2 linked regions of the Xenopus tropicalis genome follow. The protein of the gene in region 1 purifies or fractionates together with the protein of each later gene. This does not show direct contact. Links are inferred from orthologs where the notes say so. Each region holds a gene or a part of one and is shown on either strand. Other genes may lie near its edges.

The links.
Region 2: the proteins of blnk (region 1) and syk purify together in Homo sapiens (affinity purification with western blotting; 3 studies listed by BioGRID and IntAct, with this or other methods). This does not show direct contact. The link is inferred for Xenopus tropicalis from reciprocal best matches to the Homo sapiens genes BLNK and SYK.

What each region holds. Positions count from the first base shown.
Region 1 is NC_030683.2:26,110,460-26,121,447, reverse strand, and holds the start of blnk (B-cell linker protein), read left to right. Parts: upstream 1-5,730; 5' UTR 5,731-5,824; coding exon 5,825-5,871; intron 5,872-10,988. UniProt on the Homo sapiens protein: Functions as a central linker protein, downstream of the B-cell receptor (BCR), bridging the SYK kinase to a multitude of signaling pathways and regulating biological outcomes of B-cell function and development.
Region 2 is NC_030677.2:138,460,687-138,471,574, forward strand, and holds part of syk (tyrosine-protein kinase SYK), read left to right. Parts: intron 1-73; coding exon 74-212; intron 213-2,682; coding exon 2,683-2,764; intron 2,765-4,772; coding exon 4,773-4,828; intron 4,829-5,854; coding exon 5,855-5,923; intron 5,924-8,761; coding exon 8,762-8,843; intron 8,844-10,888. UniProt on the Homo sapiens protein: Non-receptor tyrosine kinase which mediates signal transduction downstream of a variety of transmembrane receptors including classical immunoreceptors like the B-cell receptor (BCR).

The sequences.
Region 1 (10,988 bases):
TAATTTGGCACTTTGGAAAGACTTGGGCATCCCCTTACTCACCCCTTCCTTGCTGGTCATACAGGGCTTACTAGCCAGGAGTGCCAGGCTATGCCATACCAAAAGTATAATCAGGTGCAAGACACGGAGCACAGCTTTTGTATGTTACATGTCACATATACTCTGTGTTACATGCCACCATGGCTTCTTTAGATGTGGGAGATTTTTTTCCCCATCCAAACCGCCTACACAATTCTCATGCAGTGAAAGGGTTAACTACAAAACACGATACAGAGTTGATCTCTTACAAATCAGCTTCCCAAATCCACTGCTTCTGTTAATAAAAGTAAAGCGGCCGATTCATGTGATTATGAGTAATGTGCATTGAACTGGATTTGATGCAACTGGTGCCAAGTTTTAAGAGCCAAATGTTTCTTAGGATTTTGCAGTTTGACTGCAAAAAAAGACATATATTGGATACAGACCAATCAGGTTGTCCAAATTGCTGAGCTTTGAACAATTTAGGAAACCATTGCTCAGCTCCACATGCTTCACATGACATGATTTGGTCACCTAGAACCTGCTTATCAGGTGACCCCCATCTGCAAATATATAGGGTCAAGAATCAACCTGTAGCAGGATTAACCAACCCTTTAATAGTCACAATGAGAAATATTGTGTTAAAGTGGTTGTTCAACTTTTAGTATGAGGTAGGGGGTGCTATTCTGAGACAATTTGCAATTGGTCTTCATTTGGGATTTCAGCAGCTATCTGGCTCCTAGGGTCCAATTTAACCTGACAACCAGGCAGTGATTTGAAACAGAGCCAGGAATACTAATAGAGGAGGGCCTAAATAGAAAGATAAGTAATACAAAGTGAGAATAAATCTGTAGCCTTACAGAGCAATGGTTTTTTTGGCTGCTGGGGTCAGTGACCCCCATTTGATGAGTGGCATATGTAACACTTATATGGGAGGAACCATCTCCTGATACGCAAATGACTGTTGGAATGGCTCTTTTACTACTTTTACCACACTGGTGCTTGGAGATGACTGTGGCTGATTTAAGAATGAGAGTGAAATATTCTAAAGGGCACATTTACGACAGCATGAACGCTCCGAGCGTATTTTCGACAAATTTTTTTGGGCGTCCGCACAACTTTTTTGTATGCCGCACGACTTTTTCGCACACTTGCACAAAAAAATCGGAAAAAGGTTTTACCGCTGTTTTCAATGGTTCGGTCCGAAAATTTCTTGACTTTCGGATAGCCAATACGATATCATCGTGACTAATACGATTTTTTCGTAAGCATTTTCGGGATATTTGCGATCTTAGGAATTTTTCGTTTCCAATTCGAATTTTTCCCATTCGGGATTCGAATTTGTGGATTAGTAAATCTGCCCCTATGACTACAAATGAACTGAATCTAGGATGTGGTCCAGAATTTAGATCAGTGATCCCCAACCAGTGGGTCGGGGGCAACATCTTGCTCCCCAACCCCTTGGATGTTGCTCTCAGTGCCCCCAAACCAGGGAGTTATATTTGAATTCCTGACTTGGGGGCAAGTTTTGGTTGAATAAAAACAAGATTTCCTACCAAATAAAGCCCCCTGTAAGCTGATAGTGTGCATAGAGGCTGCCTAATAGCCAATCTTAGCCCTTATTTGGCTCCTCCATGAACTTTTATGGTGCTTGTGTTGCTCCCCAGGTTTTTTTACATTTGATTGTGGCTCACGAGTAAGAAAGGTTGGGGAGCCCTGATTTAGATGAATCTCAGCACAGCAAAATCCAGACCCCTGCCCTTCCTATGCCAAACTGCAGTCATGCGACTATAAAGCACTCAACTTTATATAATGCTGTTTTTTATATTATTATCCTCAAATTTAATATGCATAGTGCAGTCTGGATTCAGTTTGGTTTCCAGCTTGTCAGCGGAGGACTGAGAATTAAAAAGAAAATATAATATAAATAAACGAAATCTGACAAACTCGCATATACTACCTTGCACTTGGCACACTGACTGTATGATCAATACGTAGGATTTTAGCTCCCGGGTAACGCTAAATATAAAAGGGGTAACGCTAAATATAAAAGGGGTAACGCTAAATATAAAAGGGGTAACGCTAAATATAAAAGGGGTAACGCTAAATATAAAAGGGGTAACGCTAAATATAAAAGGGGTAACGCTAAATATAAAAGGGGTAATGCTAAATATAAAAGGGGTAACGCTAAATATAAAAGATGCAGGCAGTTTGTAAAGATCTGTAAGATAAATAATTACCCCTTGGCTACTGGAGAGGCACATGCACCAGGTTTGAGATGATATAAAGCCCCGCCAAGCTTTATGGCATCATAAGAAAACAAGTATTGCACAAGACGGCTCAGTGAATCATCCTTAGACTCTTCTTTCTCTTTCTAAATATATTGTTCCTTTGCAATTACACCCACAATAAGAGGATGTTTTGAGGAATGAAGCAATCAGCAGAAGTCACAGTCAGTTCTAATGTAAAATAAAGCCTTTATTGCTGTACATGCACATTGTCAGACATGTCACCTTTACAGATTTCACCTGGAGACTGTATGCGTATCTATGACGTAAGCATTCAGTGACATCAGAAGGAGCTGGCGCAGTGACATCACTTCCAGCAGTAGTCATGCAAAATGATGTCACTTCCAGACAATACGAGACACAGCAAAAACTGTACCCCCCCGGTCTGACTTCTCTGCATTATCACAATAACTCTTTGGACCATCCAGGCCTTTAATTTTTAATATGACAAAACATGACCACTAGGGTATGTGATGAAGAATTTTGTGGCATTCACCCCATAATGTGTGCCTGTTTACACCAATGCATTCATTCCATATTTTTAATTTTTTTTGCATTTGACTAAATACTGAATCCTCCACAGAAGATGTTTCTAAATTCCAAACTGAATCTGAACCCTAATTTGCATATTAAAAATTTGAGACAAATAAAAAATGGCATCATGGTTTGGAACAGTTCCCTAAGCCCCACCCCCTATCCCCTGCTGATCTGGCTGGCTACTTTGAGACTCAAATAAAATGTAACAGTAGCCGACTGTCTTCAGCCTGCCTTCAGCCTGCATCCTCCATATCCCACAATTCCCTGCACCTGTGATGTCAATAAGGAAAAGAACATCACAGTGCAATGCATTGTGGGTTAAGTAGTTCCTGCATGCTCTCTGTAAGCTCTGGAGAAGTTTTTACAATTTATAACATCAATGTTTTAGTCCCTCCTCCCCTGCCAGGATTTCAAATGATGCAGAAAGAGAAGAACTGTTTTGCAGCTGGATCTCAGCATATACAAACTGTTTAATATCTGCATAGTTCTATACCAGTGATCCCCAATCAGGGTTTGGAGCAACATGTTACTAACCCCTTTGATGTCGCTCCCAGTGGACTCAAAGTGGGCGGCCATTTTTACATTTCAGACAAAAAGTGTTACATTGTTTTCCCCCCTCTGCATCCAATGGGCTGTTATTTCCTTATTAGCAAAGCAATAAGCAAACATGGTTACTATACAGAATAATGACTAATCTGTACACTGGCCTGCTTTCTGTCATTGCACAATGCATTGTATACAGGGGGAATTTACAGATCAGTATTAACCAAAAATTCTTTAGAAAACAGGAAATCTGTATATCTCAATATTAGGAGTATTGTCTATGAAGATTTTCATTCATTCAGGTCATGGTATATCTAATATAAATAAATTTAAAGCAACTGGACTTGTTTGGTAATCATTCAATACGTTTCACTACTCATCCGAGCAGCTTCTTCAGTTCAACTTCAACTTCATATTAGGAGTATTCCCTCCCCTTTATTCTGGTTACCCTTATGTGTAATGCACTGTGCAGGGCTGTGATAAAAACCACTACAGCTACACATGGCTAAAAGACATATAAATATATACAGTTGCAGTTGCCATCTTTTTACAAGAAAGTTACCGGCCAGTGCGGGGTGGTGACAAAGGAGGCGGGTTGATGATGAAAAGCTATGATGTCACGGGTGATGCCAGGAGGATCAGGGAAGAGAAAAAGAGTAGGTTTCCACTAGATTCTGGGTGGATCAGGGGCTTTAGGGGGCAGGACAGGGGCTGAACTTAAGGATATTCCACATTTGCTGGCTTTTACATTGCAGGGGCGAGTGACTATTGGAGGCAGTAGTTCCATGTACCAGGCAACAGAGGAGCAAAATTTATAAGAGGAGGTGGCACAAATGATAGCAAGAATAACTACAATATAAAGTGGTGCAATTTCTGGTTACTGTCTGGAGTGAATAGGAATTTGGTTTTCAGGGCTTGAGCACAGAGGCAATTATAATGCCTTTTAAATCCCATGCTGGCTGTCTAAAAACACAAATATTGCATTTTCATACATGCAATCAAGTGCATTTTTGTGAGTTACTAAATGCAACCCTCTATTCTATTTTCTGTTGAATGCAAAAAATTTAGGGTTTTGTGCTTAAAAAAACTGAAATGAAACATGAATGCAATAAAAGTCAACTCAGGGTACAAACAGAATATAATGGAATCAATCATTAAATGCACAGTGTATAAGTGCCCTAAAAAAATCATTATCACCTTAAAGGGGTGGTTCACCTTTAGGCTGATGCCACACGAGGCGTTTTTACACTGCGTATTTTCAAATTTTCTCAGCGGCTGAAAAACGCCCGATATCATCATCCATAGAAATAACTTGAAAAGACTCGAACCAAACCACACAATGCGGAAATACGCTAGAAAAAGCCTTAGCACGGATTTTTCAAGCGTTGGCTGAAATATGCCAGTATTTGCACAGCAAGCTATTCCTATGTATACACAAAGGCAGCTGCCAGACCTAGCAGAAATACGCGGCATTTTTTACTATTTTGCACTATTAGCACCATGGAAACGGGATTTGCTACGTCACCAGTACTAGGCTGAAAAACGCCATAGTCAGGGGCTGTGTGGCTTGTGTGGCGTTTTGAGGCTGAGAAAAAACGCAGCGTAAAAACGCCACGTGTGGCATCAGCCTTAAGTATGTTATAGAATGCCCTAGCAATTTTGCAGTTGGTCTTCATTATTTATTTCTAATAGATTTTAAATAATTTGCCTTCCTTCTACACCTTTTCCAGTTTTCAAATGAGGATCACTGATCCCACAGTCAAAAAAACAATTGCCCTATGAGGCTACAATAGTATTGTTACTTTTTATTACTTATCTTCCTATTCATTCCCTTGCCTATTCACATTATTCAAACCACTGACTGGTGGCTATGGTTAATAAGACCCTAGCAACCAGATAGTGGACAGCTGCTGAAAAAAAAGCTAAATAACTGGAAAGCCTCACAAAAATAAAATGTAAAAATTAAGACCAACTGCAAATTATTTCAGAATATCAATCTCTATATCATATGTCAGGAGTGTTCTCTCACAGATGACACAGAGAGAAAACATGTAGTTGAGCTGACAGCTGGCAGTTGGAATCTTCAAATACTGTGAGATATTGTTAAAGTTCAGTGGAAATTCCAGCAGCAACCCATAACCCATACAGCAGCAGGAAGAAAGCAGCGCTAGTTGTGACTCCCAAACAGGTAGAAGCTGAGAAATGTTTGCTAAAAGCCTATTCAGGAGCCAGATGGGCAGGGAGTGGGTCATGTGACGAGAAGGAAACTCGAAACCTGAATATGTAATCAGGCAAGTTTTACTTCTCAAACGAAATGACTATGTGCCAACACACACTACTCAGGGGAAATCTGACAGAGACAGCGGGGATTTCACAGGCTGTGAGCGACTGGCACCACAAGGAGCTGGCAAGCAGGGACCCTGGCTCACCTGTGGAACATGGACACATTCAATAAGCTCTCAGCTCCAGCTGGGCACAAGTTCAGGTGAGGGGCTTTCTCTTGTTTACAGTGAAGGAGCAGAACTATCCCTGAGAGGGAAACACTGGCTTACACCCCAAATTTCTGATTTTACAAGTAACAAAAAAGTCACCTTGAAATATTCTCAGCTTCCTTGTGTACCTGGGGGTTGTTTATTCAAGCTCATTGCATATAAGGCAATGGTGTCCGACTCATGAATAACTGTTACTAAACCATAACTTCCAGCATGCTTGGGGGTGTACAGAAGCGCCGCAAGATATTGCAATGTGCCTCCATCTTGTTATTTCCTCCTCTCATTCTTTTACTTGGAAAAAATGTAACTGCATAATGCACAAATACTCATAAATAAGGATGTGAATGGAAATGTGAATGGGCTGAGCGGAAATCTGTGTAGTTTGAACCCACGGACATTCGATTTTAATGTATTTCATCACGGCAACCCAAGAATGCTAGATACTTGATCAGCAATTGATATCAGTTTGTATGGGCGCAAACATTCAGGCCAAAGTGAAATCAATTAAAACTTTCACTGGATAACAATTCACAATGTGGCAAAGGCAAACTAAACTGCTCATGGTTAATTATTAGTCAGGCTAACCCCAATCATCATCCCTTTAAATGGGGGATGCTTCTTGTACGGCAGCAATGACCTGAATGCATCATTTCAGCACTTAACATTAATAAGCTGATACAGGCAGCCTAACTTTTAAATAATTTTATTTTCAATATTTACTTTTAACTCAATGCATATTGCAAAATAAGTAGAGATGCACCAAACCCAACATTTTTTGGGTTTAGTTAAGTAACTAATTCGCCACACAAGATATTTCCACATCCTGAATCAAATCTGAACTCTTAACAGTATACAGGTATGAGACCTGTTATCCAGAATGCTCAGGACCTGGGGTTTTCCAGATAAGGGATCTTTCCGTAATTTGGATCTCCATAACTTAAATCTTCTAAAAATCATTTAAATATTGATTAAACCCAGGATTGTTTTGCCTCCAATAAGGATTAATTATATCTTAGTTTGGATCAAGTACAGGTACTGTTTTATTATTACAGAGAAAAGGGAATCATTTAACCATGAAATAAACCCAATAGGGCTGTTCTGCCCCCAATAAGGGGTAATTATATCTTAGTTGGGATCAAGTACAGGTACTGTTTTATTATTACAGAGAAAAGGGAATCATTTAACCATGAAATAAACCCAATAGGGCTGTTCTGCCCCCAATAAGGGGTAATTATATCTTAGTTGGGATCAAGTACAGGTACTGTTTTATTATTACAGAGAAAAAGGAATCATTTAACCATTAAATAAACCCAATAGGGCTGTTCTGCCCCCAATAAGGGGTAATTATATCTTAGTTGGGATCAAGTACAGGTACTGTTTTATTATTACAGAGAAAAGGGAATCATTTAACCATTAAATAAACCCAATAGGGCTGTTCTGCCCCAATAAGGGGTAATTATATCTTAGTTGGGATAAAGTACAGGTACTGTTTTATTATTACAGAGAAAAGGGGATCATTTAACCATTAAATAAACCCAATAGGGCTGTTCTGCCCCCAATAAGGGGTAATTATATCTTAGTTGGGATCAAGTACAAGGTACTGTTTTATTTTTACAGAGAAAAGGGAATCAGTTTATAAAATTAAAATTATTTGCTTATATTGGTGTCTATGGGAGATGGGCTTTCCCTAATTCGGAATTTTCTGGATAACTGGTTTCCGGATAAGGGATCCCATACCTGTACTCAGATTCTAAAAGTCATTGCATTAATGGTTGCAAAATGTTAAATTCAGTTTTTTAAAACCGTAAAGTTACATGAATTTAAGGGTTCAGTATTAGTACGAACCCTTAGTAGTAGAAACATCACAAACATGCGTGTCTGTTGCTCCATAGCACTGACTGTGTGTGTATAGCCAGTATATCCAGCATTATAAATGCATAATAAATAGACAACAGCCATGTGTCTGAACAAACAGATCTGTGAGGCTGCAGAGATTGCAGGGGGCAAGGGAAAAGAACTCCCTCTGCTGTTTCTTTACTAGTTGCACCTATTTAAAGGGCAAGTTAGTAAGCACTGAATTTCTTCTTTATAATGCTGTATTGGAATTAAAGGGTGTATTCCCATAGCCCATACTCTGGTTGTAGTTCAGCAACATCTGGGATGGTCACAGGTTTCATATCATTGCTTAGGATCTGCGGAATATGTTGGCGCTTTATAAATAAATGTTAATAATAATAATAATAATAATGGATGTAGGTCTTGTCTACAAAAATTAATTTCAGAAATCAACAAATACTTCACAAATTTGTTTGAGCAGATTCCCCTTCTGAACAGATCAGAAACTCCATTAGCCCTAAGCACCATCCTCTGCTTGTATCTGTGCAAAATAGGTAAATATTCCTATTTGCGTTTCTCCTGTGGTGCATTGGCATGTGATGTACTGCAGGGCACTGATTGGAAACCCATTCTAGTCATTTTATCACTTGATCTGATAACCTTAAAGGAACAGTAACACCAAAAAAAGTGTATAAAAGAAATTCCAGTATAATGTACTGTTGCCCTGCACTGGTGCAACTGGAGTGTTTGCCTCAGAAACACTACTATAATTTATATAAAGAATGCCGCTGTGTAGCCATGGGGGCAGCCATTCAAAGGAGAAAAGGCACAGGCACTTAGCAGATAACAGATAAAACACTATTGTATTCTACAGAGCTTATCTGTTATCTGCTATGTAACCTGTGCCTTTTCTCCTTTTTTCCAGCTTGAATGGCTGCCCCCATGGCTACACAGCAGCTTATTTATATAAATTATAGTATGTATGTATGTATGTATGTATATCTTTATTTATAAAGCGCTACTTATGTACGCAGCGCTGTACAGTAGAATACATTAATACAAACAGGGGGTTAAAGATAATGGATAAATACAAAGTACAACAATAAATACAAATAAATACAAGGTACAGTTGCAATAAGAGTCAGAAACAAGATGAACAAGGTCCCTGCCCCGTAGAGCTTACAATCTATATGGGAGGGGTAACTAACAGACACAAATGGGCAAATGTAAGTGCTGTAGGTCACAGTGGGTGACACTACAATATAAGTGCCATAATAATATAAGTAGTGTTACTGTAGCAAACACACAACTTTTACCAGTGCAGGGCAACAGTACATTATATTTCTTTTACTTTAAAACTCTTTAATTTTTTGGTGTTACTGTTCCTTTAACCCTCAGGGCCCCAAAAACATTTTTTCTAAACTTTCTTAAGCCCCAATCTGAACTATTTACCTACCTCCCTCTACCATCCTTTTTCTCTTAATAAGAGTGAGCAGCATGCTGGGAAATTGGGATATGCTCTGCAATGTTTTCAGCACCCACTTCACCTTTTTAATAGGTAGAACCAGTTAACCTACTTCCCATAAGCCATACAGGTTTGCCTCTCTATATTCCCCAACCTCACTGCCCTCACCGTGAAAAACCTGCTTCAAATGGAAGCTCCGTTCCTCTAATCTAAAGGGGGGGCCTCTGGTGTGCTGATCGTTTTTATGGGAAAAATAAAATCCCCCATCTGCCTATAATCCCCTCTAATGTAATGTTAAAGACTGTTATAGCAAACTTCTGATTGGCTGGCTGCTCAGGGTTACTGCACAGGAGTAATATTTACATCAATTTTGTGAATTGTGCTCAATATTCCATGCTGCATTGTAACTCTGAAATGCCAGTATATATATATAATAGGTTTGTGTGTGTTTTTTAAAAGGTTCCTTGATAATATCGCAAATTTTACAATAAGGAAAGGTTTTTATGAACTCATTTTGTGGGGTTAACTTGTTGTAATGTTAGCACTACACACATCACAAGATAAACCACCTGAAATCTACAAGCGCTGCAAATGTGTATTTATGAAAAGTTTAGAAAATCATGACAGCTTTTCTGTATGGATTAAATGATTTGAATGATTACATCCCACATAGAGTTTAACATTTACAATCAGGTTGGATGTATGCACTGTTTGGGCACAGACGGGTGGCCAAATTCCTAAATCTCATTATCCATCTGTAGGGTAAGGAGTATTTAGTGATGGATTATAATAGATTCCGGTGGCTGCCCCAGGACCGTGATCTTGGGGGATGGGGGGTGCAATACAGTCACCTCCCCAGTTTCATATATAAAAAAAATATACAGGTATTGGACCCCTTATCCAGAAAGTTCAGAATTACAGAAAGGCCATCTCCCATAGACTCCATTGTAATCAAATAATTCACATTTTTAAAAATGGTTTCCTTTTTCTTTGTAATAATAAAACAGTACCTTGTACAGTGGCTTGCAAAAGTATTCGGCCCCCTTGAACGTTTCCACATTTTGTCACATTACAGCCACAAACATGAATCAATTTTATTGGAATTCCACGTGAAAGACCAATACAAAGTGGTGTACACGTGAGAAGTGGAACGAAAATCATACATGATTCCAAACATTTTTTACAAATAACTGCAAAGTGGGGTGTGCGTAATTATTCAGCCCCCTGAGTCAATACTTTGTAGAACCACCTTTTGCTGCAATTACAGCTGCCAGGCTTTTAGGGTATGTCTCTACCAGCTTTGCACATCTACAGACTGAAATCCTTGCCCATTCTTCTTTGCAAAACAACTCCAGCTCAGTCAGATTAGATGGACAGCGTTTGGGAACAGCAGTTTTCAGATCTTGCCACAGATTCTCCATTGGATTTAGATCTGGACTGTGACTGGGCCATTCTAACACATGGATATGTTTTGTTTTAAACCATTCCATTGTTGCCCTGGCTTTATGTTTAGGGTCGTTGTCCTGCTGGAAGGTGAACCTCCGCCCCAGTCTCAAGTCTTTTGCAGACTCCAAGAGGTTTTCTCCCAAGATTGCCCTGTATTTGGCTCCATCCATCTTCCCATCAACTCTGAGCAGCTTCCCTGTCCCTGCTGAAGAGAAGCCCCCCCCCCCAGAGCATGATGCTGCCACCACCATATGTGACAGTGGGGATGGTGTGTTCAGAGTGATGTGCAGTGTTAGTTTTCCGCCACACATAGCGTTTTGCATTTTGGCCAAAAAGTTCCATTTTGGTCTCATCTGACCAGAG
Region 2 (10,888 bases), on another chromosome or scaffold:
TATAGCGTGCATAAAACACAAATTAATGTATATTCCTGATTGGCAATGACAGAATTTTTTTTTAATCCTTTAGAATAAGAGAACGAGATGATAATGGATCATATGCCCTATGTCTGCTACACGACAGAAAGATTTCTCATTACCGTATTGACCGAGACAAAACTGGAAAGTTATCCATACCAGATGGGAAGAAATTTGATACTCTCTGGCAGGTAAAAGAAATGGTCATTACCTAAGAGTTTGCCTGTTGGCTGAACTATCATTTCCCATGGGAATCAGGTAGTGTGTGGCCGCTTTAAAGCTTTTTCCACTCAAACACTTATAAACAAAACACATGTACTTTGCACATAGCCCCATGGCTGCTCAAAGGCCAGATTAGCGCAGACCTACAATGTAGTCGCCTCAACTTATAAAAATGATAAGACACCCATGCAACTGGATGGAATAACAGCCACAGCTTTGCTGAAATTATTAAAGGTTAAATTTTGGTATGTTATAGAATGACCTATTCTTAGCAACTTTCCAATTAGTCATTATTATTGATTTTTTATAGATTTTAAATTATTTGTCTTTTTCCGACTATTTCCAGCTATTAAGTGGGGGTCACTGACCCCAGCAGTCAAAAAACTATTCCTCAGTGAGGCTACAGTTTTATTGTTATTGGTACTTGGGCCATATGGGACATAACTAGTGAAGAGCTAATTTTTTCGGCAGGCATGGATTTGCAGCGAAATTCCGCATTTTGACATTGGCGAATTGTTTAGCGAAACTTCCATGAAAATTTGCAGTGGAAAAATTAGTCATGCATCAAAAAACTTTGTGTTTCGCCATTTTGCGAACTTTCTTGTCGTTTTGTGAATTTCATAAACGGGACAGATTCGCTCACCACTAGACATAACTGTTCAGTTAGTTTACATTTGAATCTGACCTGCATGCTCACAAACTAACTGAACAGTCCCATGTGCCCCCCCTCCCCAGAGTCACTTACTAACTAAGAGGTTAGAGAGATGAAAGCAGGAAGTAGAGTTCTGGCTATTGTGTTAAACATCTGTTCACTCCAGCCTTTATAGATTACATTTTTGCCTAACTAACTGTAAAACAAATGTTTTTAATTTTGTGCAGTCTATCCATTTTACCCAGTTTCATTTTTACACTGAACTGTTCCTTTAAATTGGCCCCTAGCAACCAGATAGCATGTGAAATAGCAAACTGGAGAGCTGCTCAACAAAAAGCTAAATGATTCAAAACCCACAATAAAAAATGAAGACCAATTCAAATTGTCTCAGAATAGCACTCTTTGCATCATACCAAAAGTTAATGTAAAGGTGAACAACCCTTTCAACATACTCGTACAACAATATATGCCAGCTGGCAGTTAATACTGGCAGGTAAATAAATACATTACCCTGTCAGATAAAGAATTATTGTTCTAGCCATACATCTGTGGGACTATTGTTTCCAAGCCATGTAGCAGAGAGTCCTGTAGAAACAAAACAATATTTAGGTGGCTAGGAGACAATCCACGGCTAACAATTTAGCACAATATACACCTCTTATCACATGCATGCATGATTAGTTACTACAGTTGCTGGTTTAGTCTATGTATTCACCATATCCATCATGTTTGCATTTAGCCAGATATAGAATACTCTGCAAAAGATGAGAACATTTGCATATCCTATTTTGAGAGAAATAGAAACATTGCACTGAATTTGAACAAAACATTGTCAGCTCAGTTGTCCAGAGCTGGGGGTCTGATATGGTTTCACTAAACCCTTCGGCTTCAGCTGACTCTGAATTCTGCAAAAAAACACAAACAATCAGCCAAATCCAGATTCTGTGCATCCCCAGTTCAGTCACTCTGTAACTACACCAGGCCGCTATACTGCAGGCTACTTACTTCACTTATTTCTGGCCTGCCGCACCTGTCTGCTTTAGAGAGGTAATGGCCCTTAGCTATCCATTTCTTAAGAATATTTGCCATCCATGTCTATGCCCATATTATTTCCCACAGCTAGAAGGCTGGTTGTGTCATGCCTAATTCTGGAGGAGAAAGCTAAAGCTGCCACTGCATCAAGTAACAACATAATGCCGATGGGGAGGGTGAATTAGTGTGTAGCACAGATGAAATATGCTTTTATAAACCATCAGACAAAATGTTACAGTTGGTAGAACCTGTTTAAATATAGTAAATAGCATATCAGATCATATTTGGGTACCCATACAATATAAAAGCAAGCCTGTTTGTGCCAGCCTTGTGAAGGGTTACTATTAAAATAGATTTACACTTTACAAATACTTCTTTATTTGACATGTTTGTCATGCGTTTTAGGAAGTTGTTTTATTAGTCTTACCTGGAGCGCCTTCTAGTGGACATCTTTAGATATAAAGTTTAGTTTTATATGATTTTTTATCTAATTTTTCTCACTAACGCTTTTCTCACCTATTACTAATATTATGTACCTTATGTAATTTTTCTAACAAGCCTCTCTCTAGCATTTGGTTGCTGGGATTACAAAATTGCCTAACCAAGGTGTGAATTAAAAAATAAATTTGTTTGGCATTTAATATAAGAACAACTCTTTATTAAGCTTTATGTGTCCTTTAAGCACAGTAGTTTACTGTATAATTTAAACTTCTACATAATTCAGTAACAATTGCTTTCCCCTGTTTGTATTGCAGCTGGTTGAACATTATTCCTACAAACCTGATGGACTTCTGCGGGTTCTTACAGAACCATGCCCCCGAGCAACTGGACACAGTGGTTAGCACTTTCTAATATACTCTGTATTCTAGGAGCACTTTTGATAAATAGATAGATAGATATAATATTATTATTATAGATGCATTCCTCTTATCTCCTATATATTTTTAATAATTCAATTAGGATTGTTATTTGAATGCTATTTGAATACTCTATTGATTTAAGTAATAAGTGCTTCTTTTTCCCTTCTTATAAGTTATTTCTTGTCTTTTTCTGCATTATCAGGGGTCTGGTAAGAAGTTTTACTAGAAATGTGTTTTCTTTTATGTGTCATTGTGCATAGATCCCCCAAACCCCATAAATAAATTACCAGCAATTTATTAATCCCACACCTCTAGCGCTTTATAATATACTCTGTTTTTATAAGCAGAAATATTTTGGGTAGATAGACAGACAGACAGATACATAGATGAATGCATTCCTCTTACCTACTAGATATTTTAATTGATTACATTACCATGGTTATTGGTCTTTATCAATGCTATTTGAATACTCCATTGATTTAAATATTAAGTACAGGTAAGGGATCCGTTGTCCAGAATGCTCGGGACCTGGGGTATTCCGGATAGGGGTCCGTCCGTAATTCACATCTCCTACCTTAAGTCTACTAAAAAAAATTATTTAAATGGGAATTAGATCCAATAGGATTGTTTTGGTTCCAATAAGGATTAATTATATCTTAGTTGGGATCAAGTACAAGGTTATTATAACAGAGAAAAAGGAAACCATTTTTAAAAATGTGAATTATTTCATAAAAATGGAGTCTATGGGAGATGGCCTTTCCGTAATTCGGAACTTTCTGGATAATGGGTTTCTGGATAAGGGGTCCGATACCTGTACTTCTATTTCATGTCTTAAATGTATTTCATGTCTTTTTCTGCGTTGTCAGTGGTCTGGTAAGTAGTTTCATTAGAAGCATATATTTATGTGTCATTGTACATAGATAGAGGCAAATTCTTTTATTACAAAACTACATTTTCATATATTTGTAGCTTTTATAAGGCAATGTGAATAATGACTCAATTTTGGATAAAACAGGGGGTGATGTTAAAACCTCTGGCCTACAGAATTCAGTAATGTTCTCCAACAGCTCTATACTAATGGAGTACAAGGATTCTATGTATAGCACCTTAAGCCTGACACTCATGATCTGATTTTACATAGCTATGCACATGTTTCTATCTCTCTGGTCTTTTTATAACGCCTAATTAAGAATGATCAAAGCAGCAAGAAAAATGAGCAGGACAAATTGTCACAGACTTCTCAAAATGAACTGTATTTTCGTAGATGAAGCCAAAAGGTTTGTCAGCTTTAACTCCTACTACAAATCTGGCTCTAGGAAAAACAGATTTTGCTGATTATGATCTTGAAAAGATGTCCATGTATCTCTATAAAGCAGTATTGTCCGGCTAGTGAATGTCAGATTGTCCCTAAATTACAACTCCCAGCGTTACCAGGAGATAAAGATTACAGTTGGAGAGCCCTGCACAAGGCATTCCTGCTATTATGTTGCTGTTCAGCAGCTCTCCACTTTGGAATCTGGACTTTTCTCTGACATTAGCAAACAGAAATATTCAGGCATAGTGGAGCCACTTATATCTGCAATATGGTATATATGGATTTTATATGATGACATTTAGTAGCAAACTCTATTTTCTTCTTGAGATCAAATATGATTTGCTGCCTCTAATTCTATAGATGTTTAGAAATGAGGGCATGAGATGGTGGGGATCACAACCCAGTGCAATCAACCTTTCACCACAGAATACAATGAAATTAGAATTACACATATTTTACATCATTATGTTAAAGCTATTGGAGCAGCATAGGCATTTTGCAATAATCATATAACAAATAACCAAATTTAAAAAAAAATGCTTATATATCCTTTTTCCCCAATTTGAGCACAGGTTTGTAACACAGTCTATTTGTTCATTTTTTTTTTTTTTTGCTTTAACTATGTAGAATAGTCCATGAAATCTAATTAAATGTCTTCATTCTGTTATAGAAAGCTTTATATTTAAACGTGCACCATGTCCAGCACCTCCTACCCAACATCAAATGGTAAGTAATGCATGCATAACATCAATTTGTTCATTACAACATCACAAAGGCCATTCTCTGCTGGTAAGTGCCATCCAAGTACTATAGACTTGTGTATTGCAACTACTAGAATGCTAAAAGTTTCATTATACGAAGCAAATTAGTCAAACCTATGTTTCCTTCATTAGCAGTAAGAAGGCAGATGCTATTTTGAGAAAGATGCCATCAAGGCAAACTTTGCTTTAACCATAAATCTAATGTAGGTGCCAGAAAGTAATCCAAATGCCCAATCACAGGCTATGTCAGATTATAATGGGGGTGGTGGGATGGTGAGGAGCATTCAACATAATTTCAATATAAAGGGCTTATGCCAATAATGCTTGCCACCTATTTAACCAAATAATTTATAGCTTTATAATTTAAAGGGGGGGGGGGTGTGAGGAGCATTCAACATAAAGGGCTTATGCCAATAATTCATGCCACCTAGTTAATGAAATAATTTATAGTTTTTTTCAGTACAGGTGAAGATAATCATTACATATAAAAAAAAATTGTCTAAGGATCACATTTTCAATACAAGCCCTGTGTATCTGATCCACATGGGTGTTTATTTCCATTAATTTTAAAGAATCCACACTGTAAGGTATAGACTGGGTGCTTGTGGTCTGTTGGGTTAACAAATGGAAAAGACAGGGTTGAAAGGAAGAGCATTACCAAGCAGCTTAATGCTGTGTGACTTTGTATTCAGTGGAACCTTGGATAATACATGTACAGTACCTGAAAGCTGGACAGAGAGACAGTAAATGCACTTGAATAAAAATACTATACTCTTTGAAAGTAATAGAGAATGTATGTTTTGAAAGTTTAGATAAAAAGTAAACATCTTATGCAAAGCCATATAATGCATGAAAATTGTTGGCAGTGACCCTAACTTCAGTTTTGTTATTACTGCCCCCCAGAGAGAATTTTCATTTTCAAATTGTAAAAAAAAAATGTTTTTTTTCTGGCAGCATGTTTAATGTTCCTCTCTGCCATTGTGGTTTCTAGAGTTGGTCAGCAGGTGGAATTATCTCGAGATTCAAATCCTACTCCTTCCCCAAGCCTGGCAACAAAAAGGTGCTCTGTACACACTATCTAAGGCTTTCCAAAATATAGACAGGCGCTAAATTAATGACTCAGCTTATTTACATTAAAGCAGCATTGCGGATTTCTGCATTATTTAGTTCTGCCAAGGCTGTCTTTAGTGGTGGGGGCCCAGGGCAGAGCAGTTTTTGTGGGAGCGTTATAAGACGTAGGACTATATCTGTGTAACTTAAATCCCCGGATCCATTGCTGAAATACTTTTCCCAGAATCACTTGACTGATGTCAGTGGGTCCTTGCTTTTGTATTTCAGAACAAATGAAGTCTAAATAACACTGATAAGTGTTACTGTCACCATGTTGCTTTACTATATCTGCTGTCCTACAGTCTCACTGTTTCTTCCCAGAATGTATTGTTCCTACTATTACATTCAGTGTTGCACTACCTTCTCTTCTATAAATTATACCGTGGTGTATTTCCTACCTAAAACCACTGCTTATGAGGCCCTACTATGTATGAGGCCCAGGGCAATTGCCCCTGCCCCACCTCACTAAAGACAGTAATGCAGTAGTTTTGTAGTTGTTGGTTAAGTTCAGATTTTTACATTCTTAAAATTAAAAATTAAAATAACAATTATCCTCTGAAGGGAAATGCTGTCATCTTCACAGTAAAAACTGCAGTTCTCAAAATGCCAAGAACTGTTGGCAGTCACTTCCCAATATGGAACTGTCTATGGGGGACAATAGATAGAGGGAACAAGTCCATCCGCCAGTATGAATCATGCCCATGCTTATTATAGCTTGTGCCTTAGGCAGTCTAACTGCCATACACTATAGATGTCTGCAGCCAACAGCTGTTCTAGGCATTGTATGCACCAATGCTTTCTCTGAGAAGCTTGTAAACATGATGCCATCGCTGTCCTGAGTTCCATTATGTTTAATATGGTTGTTAAGGGAACCCAAACAAATCTGAAGTCACTGTTTCCCCTAATCATTGGTTTTGGGTGGGGACTTCCAGAGAAAATATGAAATAATTATATTATGCCATTTTAACTGCAGCCTACACATAATTCAGTTGCAGAAATTATATATTTCTCCCTTCACATTCATTTAGCCACTTCTTCATCCGCTTGAAAACTGCTACAAACATCTTGTTTGTTTATTTATGAGCCAGCAGTGCTGCTTTAATATTACTAACTGTGTGGTAAGCTGCTAAAATTACATTAACCATTGATGTCGGTTTCTGCCCTCCACCTGCTATAGACTCAACTACCAGCTGACCTACTGAAGATGCTGGGATTTGTTGTTAATGACATTTGAAGGGCACGCATTTGACATCTCTGCTCTTAACACTCTGCTTTTGGCCCCTAGTGTGGTTTGAAAATAACACAAAACAAGTTGACATCAAAAAATTTGGAAAAAAGGGAAATCATGTATATTATCACAAATGTATCATGTGTCATAAAATATGTGCAGTATATTGATGTGGTGTCAGTGATTGCGGTCAGTGACAGAGATGTTACCACATAATTGACACCACAGAATCATAATATATAAGGAAGATTTTAATTGTTGGGAGGGCTCTTTAGTCTATAAATTCCAGAAATAAGAATGATATGTATAATATTTTTTTTCTGGTATTTGTCTGGCTTAACAAAAGCTCCATGTGTGCTAAAAAAAGAATGAAGTGGGCTTTTCCCAGATTAACTAACAGATAGAATCCAGGTTCTTATTAAAGAGATTTTCATTTGTGGTGAGCTTTGGAACCAGAATGGCCTTCTACTCAACCACCTAATTGGCCTCTATGTTAGTACCATGGCCATTTCTGCATGAGAGAGAATAGAATAGATTGAAGAGAGGAATGATAAAGTAGTAGACAACACCCTAAGGGAAAGAAGAAAATAGGAGAAAAATATCAGATGGGTTTAGAACGGGGAATAAGGGACCAAGGGGTGAAGGGAGAGATAAATTAAGGGCAGAAATCATAGAATGTATTGACAAGACAGTGTGGTACAAAAGTAAGTGAAGAGCAGCAGAAAAACCTATTGGAATGTGGTCTCTTGTCCTAAGGTTTCTAATTTGCTGGTGCCCAGGTTGGCCAGTTGGACACTGGCTCCTTTTTATTTACAGTTTTTTTTTCTTTTGCGAGTGTCAAATTCCCTGCAAGGGAAACAATGGGTAATATTTACTAAGATGCAAAAATACAGCTTGTCTATCTTCAACAAAGTTTTTTTCTGCAACACTGCAAATGTAATGTGCAGAACTATCAGGGGCAAAAATACGTTGTGTAATTATGCCAATGTATTTATAATATAACTAGGCAAGTTTTAGTAAATATGTCCCAATGTGTGGACCAAGTGACTGGTTAGTTATATAGTATTTATAGTAAAATAGTTTATGAACCAAATGTGCACTAAGGCTTATTTGAAAATGAAAACAATGCAAGTGCCCTTAACTAATCGGCAACTATAGCAACCAGTCAGCTTTGGTCTGTTTAGTGCAGTTACAATTATGAATGCAAAAGTCTGATTGTTACTGGTTACTGCAGCAGTGTACATTTGCACCAGTGTTAGAGAATGACCCTTACTATCAATGTGCCATAATGAACTGTAAAGAAAAAAAATAAAATGTATTTTGTCAAATTTGTATGTAAAGAATCGTAATTTGAAGTTGTAAGTACAACAAAAATGAGCATAGGTGTCATGGCAAGTTAAACAAGATCATTTGGAACATGCTATTATATACACACTACTGACATTTTTTTCTATAAAGACAGCTTGATTTTCATCTTGCCATGATAATTTAATTTATACTTAACTTTTTAAAAACACTATGGTCATATTTAACACAGATCTATTTTCTTTACATATTTAGATGACACTGAGTACTGCAGGGGCTCCCAGGCGGCACGGAAGTTCTACATCAATAAATACTTATGTACATAGGCCAAATGCAGGTAAGTTTCATTTAACACATTTACAACAAAATGTCAGATTTGAAGCTGCACCAGGCATATTCTAAAGAATAGTGATGAGCAAAGTGTTTTCGATGTGTGTCATTTTTTTGTCACACAGCAAACTTTTTCTGTTGCAAATTATTGCGCCTGTTTCATGAAAAAATCCGCCAATGGTGAAGCGGGCACAAAAAATTTCTTGACACACGTAGCTTTTTTTGTTGCACAGCAAATTTTTACGTCCGTTTCACCACTGGCGGATTCTTTCATGAAACGGGCGCAAAAATTTGCTGTGCAACAAAAAAAAGCCGCGTGTGTCAAAAAATAAAGACACATCAAAAAAAAACCTTTTGTACATTTTTCAGCAAAATGGCACAGATTCGCTCATCACTAGTAAAGAAACCTAAATATCAGAATGGGCACCTCCCTGTAAGTGACTTTTAGCTGAAAAAAATTTTCATATTGTATCCATTTGTTTTGTATTTGACATGTATAAATACATGTCATATCTATTATGGTAATACAAAATTATACAACATTCACATAAAATATGGATGAATATAGCCCATTTGTGGGGGGCACGTATTACAGTATTGCAAAAGTGTTACATACAGTATACACTCTGTTATCAGATCTTGATAGGTGGCATTGGTTCTTAAAAACATAATTATCTGCTTTAATTGCTGAAACTTCACGCACTCTAGTTTTTTCTTTTGGTTTCCTTTGTTGTGTACATAGAGAAAATTAAATGTAAGGGCATTTGCATTTAGCAGTTTTTTGTTATAAGGCATTGCTGTCCAACTAGTGGTCTGCGGGCCACATCTGGCCCTTGACCCCCCACTTGTGTGCCTGTTTAAGCTTTAAATTGTATCAACACTGAGATTAACTGGCATTGTTCACATCTCAGATTCAGGCTGTAATCAACTGCATTGTTCACATCTGTAAGGTCCTGCATTGTTCAGACCTGTAAGACTGCAAACTGTAGGCACCTGCATTGATCACCTGTTTACACCTCCTGTAGGAGCAGTGCCGACAACTGTTTATCTTGGATTGTTCATGATCAATTACTTATGTAATCATGCTAGGTTTATCTGTCTCCTTCCCTACACTGCCTGTTCTGCTGTACTCTGCCTGCCCTATGCTGCCTGTGTGTGCCATACTCTGTCTGCCCTATGCTGCCTGTATGTGCCATACTCTGCCTGCCCTGCCCTGTGCTGCCTGTGTGTGCCATTCTCTGCCTGCCCTATGCTGTTTGTGTGCGCCATACTCTGCGTGCCCTATGCTGCCTGTGCGTCATACTCTGCCTGCCCTATGCTGCCTGTTTGTGCCATACTCTGCCTGCCCTACTCTGTCTGTTTGTGCCATACTCTGCCTGCCCTACCCTGTCTGTGCGTGCCATACTCTGCTTGCCCTATGCTGCCTGTGTGCCATACTCTGCCTGCCCTATGCTGCCTGTTGGTGGTGAACCTGGCAGGGGTTTTTTCTGGGAGTTTGTTTGCCTTTGTAAATAGTTGTTAGGGGAACCCTAAGGTATGTAATTATGTGCTGGGGGGTTGCTGTGCTACCGACAGGGGAGGAGGAGACATATGAACTTAAGGGTATGTCCTAATATGACATAATAAACTTATTTTACATATGAGTGATGGATGCACTACCACCATTAATGTGAGTATGGTCTTAAAAACTTTAGTGGTAACATGGCTGTGGTTTAAAGTGGGTGTGGTCAAAACTGGCCTCCATTTTTCACCCTCTGCTGTGTAGGCCAGAAAAATTCTGTCCCTCGGTACCACAGATGTTAGACAGCACTGTTACAAGACATACATTCAAAGGGGTGTGGTCTTAAGTACTTTTTAAATGTATCCATGTTAGTTTTAAAACAATTTGTTAACAGTTTAGTTGGTCTGTGCTTAAGTTTTCAATTTTGGATTTACTAGGTGACCTGACTGCCTGATTTCATTTAAATTTTAATTCTTAGGAAGTCAAGAATTTCTGGTCTTGCTATCTCTTTGCCTGTATTAGTCTCAGGGAACTTCTCACAACTGATAACC